2 linked regions of the Mus musculus genome follow. The protein of the gene in region 2 interacts with the protein of the main gene of each other region in a pairwise test. Links are inferred from orthologs where the notes say so. Each region holds a gene or a part of one and is shown on either strand. Other genes may lie near its edges. The genes, in order: Bmerb1 and Rapgef4.

Region 1 (3,820 bases), on a different chromosome or scaffold from region 2:
CTCCCCTTGCATCTGTGCTAATCTCTAGTGTTATACATTTATCTGGTTCCTTTTGAAGTCACTCCTTTTGCACCTGGAAAAATTCAATGTGCCTTGTTCTGCAATTTATTCTGTGTTATAAAAGTCTGATGCTCAACTGGAAAATTGCATTCAGATTCAACACCTCTCTTGTGTGTTTGACTGATTGTCACTACATCCGACTCTTCTGCCCATCTGCCTAAGTAATCCTGTTCCTCAAAGACCAGGGACCCAGAGGGTCTGCGGCAGAAGAGGAAGTTGCCCCCTACATGGAGAGAGACTCCAAAGACTTTGTCTTGGGATGAAAATATCCAAGACATAGCTGCACCCAGGCCCGGCATCTTCAGAGGCCTCTAGTCAGTCGTACAGCCCCAGAGCCAGGGGCTCCCAGCCCAAGATAACTGCAAGAGGGGAAGGAAAGATGAGGGAAAGCACAATTCTCAGAACTTGGGAGAGGTTGTCATGGGGACTGGTTTCTGTACATATTGACAAGTTTTGAGAGTCGCTTTGATGCATCCAGACAATGTATAGGAACTTTCTCCTCTATCACATGACGGAATTCCTTCCTGCCCACCTGCCTAAATGACCATCAGCTGAGACATACAGGACTCTGCGAGATTTTGGAGGATGACATAGTTGTTCTCTTGAATATGAGACGGATTCTGAGGTCAGGCGGGTTTTGTGTATGCAGAGCAATTGCAGAGGCTCTGCCTTTTAGGCAAGGCCATACATTCCAGGAGCAGATAGTGGGTTTGCAGGGCGGTGCAGGAAGTAGAGGCTCGGGATCTGATGGCCTGACGCCCACCTTAAGCGTTCCACCTCGGCATCATCCACCAGGAAGTCTCTCTTCTGTACCAGTCTGTGGATCTTCTGGATGAGCTCATCCTCTCTCTGCTTCTGCAGCTTGGTTTTTTCTTTTTCTGGGAGGGAGAAAACAGTGAGGCAGCTATGCTGGTGCATGTCTGCAATCCCGGCACTCAGGATGTTGAGGCAGGAGAGTGTGGGTTTGGAGCTAGCCTGGGACAACACATGAGACCCTGTCTCAAGACAGAACAAAGCATGAAGTGAGTGTAAGTAGCAGAAACACTGAGTCTGAGGGGACAGGATTGGACATGCGGCTCCACTACTCCATCCTCTGGGTAAATTTGAAGAGGCACTATGACCGCTTGTGCGTTTATGTGTGTAAACAGGCACACTCTTGTGTCTGTGTGCTCATTCATGTCTGTGGATGCAGGTGGAGGCTAGTGGCCAACACTGGATGCTGTGCTAGATAGTTTCATATTAATTTGATAAAAATGAAAGTCACCCAAGAGGAGGAACCCCAGTTTAGAATATGCCTTCAGAAGATCTGACTGTAGGCAAGCCTGGAGGGCATCTTCTTAATTAGTGATTGATGGGGGAGGGCCTAGCTCATTGTGGGTGGTGCCATCCCTGGGCTGGTGGTCCTGGGTTGTTTTTTTTTTTTTTTTCTTTTTTAAGATTTATTTTATTTATATGAATACACTGTAGCTGTCTTCAGACACACCAGAAGAGGGCATCAGATCTCATTACAGATGGTTTCAAGCCACCATGTGGTTGCTAGGAATTGAACTCAGGACCTTTGGAAGAGCAGTCAGTGCTCTTACCTGATGAGCCATCTCTCCAGCCCAGTCCTGGGTTTTATAAGAAAGCAAGCTGAACAACCACAAGGCAAGCCTGTAAGCAGCACTCCTCTGTGGCCTCTGCATCACCTCCTGCTTCCAGGTTCCTTCGATGATAAACAATGATGTGGAAGTGTAAGCCACTCCTCTCCTCAAGCTTTTTGCTCATGGTGTCATCATAGCAATAGTAATGCTAACTAGGGCAGGATTAGTTCCTCAGGTTCTATCAACTATTTTTTGTTTGCTTGCTTTTGTTGTTGTTTGTGGGTGAATGTTGTTGTTGTTGATTTTAGAGACAAGGTCTCTCTACAAGAACCTGGCTGTCCTGGAGCTTACTATATAGACCAAGATGGCCTTGAACTCACAAATATCCAAGGGTTGCAACAGAGACATCATCTGATAGGATGAACAGTAGGTATTTGGTAAGTGCAATGTCCCTCCAACTTCCCGTGCCAACAAAAGCTGGGGTCATGCTTTGGGAGTCTTGAGGCTAAGCTGCAATCTAGGTTGGGCTGTATTCAGTTCTGCTGGTGTCTTCTTTTGCTAATGTGACTGCACTGTGCTCCTTCTTGTATCTTACAGATGGAGAAACAGAGGTTTGGAAAAGTCATGGTCTAGGGAGGGTCTAAGGGATGGCTCCTTGGTAAGCTGCTTGCCTTTCAAGCATGAGGGCTTGAGTTCAATCCCCAGGACTCACAGAAAGACAGTTGCATAGCTGCACCCACTGACAACCTTAGTGCTGGTAAAGTGGAGACAAGCATATCCTTGGGTTTTAACGGCCATCCAGTCTGGTCTAATTAATGAGAGACCCTGTCTCTAGGGAGGTGGACAACATTCCTGGAGACCTGACACATTAGATGGGCGCTCTCTCACACCATATTTACATATGTCTTACATATGGTTTCTATTGCTGTGACAAAACACCATGAACAAAAAACAAGTTGGGAAGGAAAGGGTTTTTCAGCTTATACTTCCACGTTGCTGTTGATCACCAAAGGATGTCAGTACAGGAACTCAAACAGGGCAGGATCCTGGAGGCAGGAGCTCGATGCAGAGACCACAGAGGCATGCTGCTTACTGGCTCATTCCTCATGGCTTGCTCAGCCTGCTTTCTTACAGAACTCAGGACAAATTGCCCAGGGATGGTCCCACCCACAATGGTCTGGGCCCTCCTCCATTGATCACTGATTGAGGAAATGCCTTACACCTGGATCTCATGGAGGCTTTTCCCCAACTGAAGCTCCTTCCTCTCTGTTGACTCTAGCTTGTGTAAGGGTGACAGAAAACCAGCCAGCACAACCTGTGGCCCTGCATTTCCTCTGTATATGTTAAATCACTTCAGGCTGCCCGTAACATGGAACACAACACAAGCATTAAGTTAACAGTAATCATGTGTATCTGCCAGGGATCTTGACAAGAAAGGGTCAGTGTAACTTTCAGTGGGGATATTACTTTTCCAGGGGGCTGAATCTGTGGGTGTTTAATGCACAAGATGCATGGAACTTCCTGGAAGGGAAGGGAAGGGAAGGGAAGGGAAGGGAAGGGAAGGGAAGGGAAGGGAAGGGAAAGCTTTCTCATTGACAGAAATACCGCCACCAAGCACGTGTCAAGCATGGATGATTTTCAGCTCTTGGGCATTGACTGTCATCCATTGGACGAGGGGACATGGCTTCTGTGGGTGGAGCTCAGGTGTGACTCTGCCCCCCTGCCTCCATGTGCCCACTCACTGCTGCAGCCCCCAGCTTGCCAACATTATCCCACCTACTCAGGGTCAGGTCCCAAAGAAACTCAGGACAAAGGGCTAAGTGAGGTAGATGCCTGCTAACATATCAAAGCAGATGCTGGCTGCCAGGTTCTTCCAGCAGCACAAGTACCTGTTAGAGAGTCCTAGGTCCTTCTCACCCAGTCCTCTCTCTACTCTAAACCTCTCCAGCCCAGGGTCCACTTCCCTTCCCCCAGCTTCTCGTTTTCCTATATAACTCAGCCATTTGGGGCATGCATGCTTTCTTGGCTCTCTTGGTTTTAATGAACTCTCTTAGTTCTGTTGGCTGCCTTTCTTGTCTCTCTTTTCTTCTTCTCTCATTTTTCCTCCCCCTCTCTCCTCTCATGGCCCAGTCTATTTTGTTGGTCATGTTCAGTGTAGACTCCTTCAGAAGCATCTG
Region 2 (3,820 bases):
CGTTGAGGAGGAGGGAAGAGCAGGCTAAGGGGAGGAACTCGAGACAGCTGGAGGACAGTCTCATTGTTTGGAAAGTGTTTAAACTGTAGTGCAAACAAGAGCGTTTTGATAAAAATAAGCTATTTTAATAATCTCTGTTTTCATCCATTTAAATATTTCATAGTTCAGTGAAAACAACTAGTGATTCGAATAAAAAGAATTAACAGAATAATGAAAACGAATTAAATAAAGGAGAACTAAAGAAACAAAAAATAAAAATTATACAAAAATGATCCTGAAAAGGCAAAAAAAAAATTGGGTTTCTTGCTGACAGAGATATCGGTATTAGCAATAGTGTTCCTAATGAGTGTGTGTGTGGGGGGGGAGACATTTTGAGATACAATGTTTAAAGCTCAGTTTCCATCTCTAACTCATATCTCTTGTTTATTTTTAACTACCACAATGTATCTAACAAAGAGCAAAAGTTTCCAAAACAGGTCTCCTGGAAGTTTGTTTCATTGCTGGGGACTAACAAAGTGTTCCATGTGTCCCTGGTTTACTTCCATTTATCTCTAGCCGTCCCTCTCAGTTTCGTACAGAACCCCTCATAACCCCTGACATGCTGACTCATCTTCTGACCTTAACCCCAACTGCTCAGCAAAGATTTTGTCCACTAGAGGGAAACACCAGCATCAGCAATGCTGCGTGCATCTATTAATGTCTAAACTTCTTGCTTCCAGCTATGATCACAGAACTGAAGGACAATGTGAATTCCAGAGAGAAGCCCCCATATGACTGACACTATGTGACTATCTGAGGCAAAGAAGTTCTCTTGGGCTTGGAGCCCATGGTGCATGATGAAAAAAAAAAAAAAAACTAAACAAGAAACACAATACTTTACACAGTATTGTCAATGATAACTTAAGGTGTGTTAAGTATTTTAACTGTAACAGGAGATTTCCAGAGCCAAATTAATTCATTAAAAAAAAAAAAAACCAAAAACCTCAACCTTTTTTTTGTGACTGGATCTCAAAATTGCTCTATACCCATGGATGACCTTGAACCTTAAAGTTTCCTACTTCCCTCTCTGGAGCACCCTCTCAACCCTCCTCCCCACACTGGGTTATGCAATGCTCAGCATAGAACCCAGGGAGGGTTTCAACATGTTAGGCAAGTGCTCTGCTATCTGAACTATCCCTCAGCCACAGATTAGTTCTTCTATATCCACTATATGGAAGTTACTACCCAGAACCCTGCAGGAAGAGTAGAGACTTGATTCATCCCACCCGTTCTAGACAGTATTGAGCCAGTGGGGTAGAGAGCCTGCAGGACTCAGACTGGCAAGTGTTACATGTGTGGTGCTGGAATACCCACCAAACTTCAGATTGACTGACACAGGATGGAATAGTCACGAGTCCAGAAAAGGACAAGTGCCAAGTGATATCCTGCCAGGTCAGAGTAGGGCCAATAGAGAGAGTGGGGCATTGATGAACAGCAAGGGGTGTGGCCAGGCGTGACAGGCAGGGAGGGGGTGTGGCCAAGCCTGACCAGAGGGTGTGGCCAGGCCTGCCCAGCAGGGAGTGTGGTGAGGCATGGCGCTTCCATTAGGGCTCTCACTTACACACAGTTCCTCCTTTGGCGTGAGACTCAAAAATGAGAACACCTGCTAACTCCCGTTTCACCTAGGGGGGGAAAAAAGAAAAATGTGGGAAGACAAGGGACAGGAGAAGGGACTTGTGCTTTGCGTGGTGCCCGTTAGAGGTGGTTTTCAGGCTCGCCTAAAGTTATCTATCACACAGATTATACGATTTCCTATCATCCAGAAATACTTTCACTAGACTTCTACTTGGATCAGAAAGTCTATTCCAAAACTACTGTCTAGACAAGCTTGTAACAATCCCCATCAGGCAGACCTCTAAGGGACATTTATTTATTTTGTGGGGTGACTGCATGCCACACACGGTGTACTCTCGGGAGCTGGTTCTCTTTGACTACCACGTAGGCTACTGGGATGGGGCTCTGGTTGTCAGGCTTGTAGCTATACCCACGTTGAGTCATTTCTTAGGCTGAGATGTTATTTTTTTCATCCTGTGGTTTGTATTTAATTTTCTCTCGTGTGTATGGTGATTGCTTGAGTGGATGCCTGTGCACCACAGCTTGATTAAGAGATACTCACTGTGGTAGAGAGATGGGATAAGGCTTTAATATGAAGGAGCTCGTCGTAGATAATCTCTAGGTCATCCACAGTCCTCTGGCCAGGTCTATAGAGAAAGACAGTGACAAAGCATTGTTACACACGCTTCAAATATGGGATCCATTGGTCAGTAACACGCTAAGGGGTTTATTCTATATGAAAAGATACTGAGGGAGGCTCTGAGCCATAGCAATCCCGACAGGGACTAGAAAGGAATGTGTGCACTAGTTGGAAGAATATAGGAGGAGCTGAATGGACACAGACTCCCATCCCTTCCAATCTCAGCAGGAAGAACCCTCTGCATGGTCATTGGTTAACTTACCTGGGGCTTTGTAAGTAATTGTAAAGCATTGCTTTTTATTACACCCTAATCAATAATGACAAAACTTGTCTCTTTGAGCTCTAGGGACACTTGATTGGTCAACTTGACAATGGATTCACATTCCTAGAGTATCTTAAGGTAACACTGGGGCTGTCACTGTTCTGGATTATACATGTTGCTCCTCCCAGAGGACTCGAGTGATTTCTTACCCATCCCTAAGGAGGCATGTTCTTGAGGTATGAATGAGACAGATCACACTGCCTGGAATTTCTAAGAGAAGGAAGGGGAGGTACATCCATATATGTGAAACTCTGTTCTGTGGACTACCCCCGACCACAACGGGTTAGTGATTTGTGTAAAAGGGTTTTGTTTGTTTTGTTTTTTTAATTCCAAAGCCTAGTACTACATAAAGTTAGTAATATACCTTTGTTGTACGGAGTAAGGGGTCATTTTTACATTAGAAAACTGAGTAAATTCCTAACTGCCTTTTCTATCTAAGTTTATTTTGGAATTATTAATGTCATTAAAGGGTATTTAATAACATTATCACCCAAGGTAAGTGGCAGGCCTCCTCGGAGATAGCTGGAGGAAGAAAATGTCACAACTTACACATGACCTTCATAAAGAGAGCTTTACCCTGAACAACAGGATACTATGTACTTATTACACAGAATCAAAGGAGGACTTGTTTATTAATCCTGACTACACAAATCCAGGACTTGGAAGATGCCAGCCTCATTCATTTCCCGCTAAGGATCATCACTGAAGGACACTGGATTGGATACCAGTCCAGTGCTCAGTGGTGTCACCTAGAAAGCACAGGACCTCAAAAGATAACGAAGAGAAGCTGGGGCCACAGGGATGCCAGAGGAGCCAGGCCCTCTTAGCAAGTGCCCAATCCACCACTTGACTCACGCGTGGGGACTTTGAGGCAAGGACCCTTCGGGATTTAAAAGTCAATCCAGTCACCCCCAGGCATCTGCAGCCATAGGGGCAGCCATAGGGGCAGCCATAGGGGCAGCCGTGGGGGAAAGGCTCAGGGAGATGTAATAGGATTACAACTCTCCAGCTTGAGGTGCAGCCCCGCTGTTCCTGCTTCTTGACATCAGCCGTAAATAGCACAAATGCTCCTAGACACTTGGCTAAAATCGAAAGGAGTTACTGGATCACCTGACCCCCTGGCTGTGAAGTGAGCTGAAGGTAGGGGGGGGCACAACCTCAAAAATAAAGGTTTACATGTAAGTCGGTTCTAAAATCTTGACAGATTCAATATTGGAGTTGGGGGAGCCGATGTGTGGGTGTTCAGGTGCATTTATACATGAGTG

The links.
Region 1: the proteins of Rapgef4 (region 2) and Bmerb1 interact in binary tests that used the Homo sapiens proteins (3 or more experiments, as listed by UniProt). The link is inferred for Mus musculus from reciprocal best matches to the Homo sapiens genes RAPGEF4 and BMERB1.

What each region holds. Positions count from the first base shown.
Region 1 is NC_000082.6:14,091,007-14,094,826, reverse strand, and holds part of Bmerb1 (bMERB domain-containing protein 1), read right to left. Parts: intron 939-3,820; coding exon 824-938; intron 1-823.
Region 2 is NC_000068.7:72,194,057-72,197,876, reverse strand, and holds part of Rapgef4 (rap guanine nucleotide exchange factor 4), read right to left. Parts: intron 2,241-3,820; coding exon 2,156-2,240; intron 1,662-2,155; coding exon 1,601-1,661; intron 1-1,600.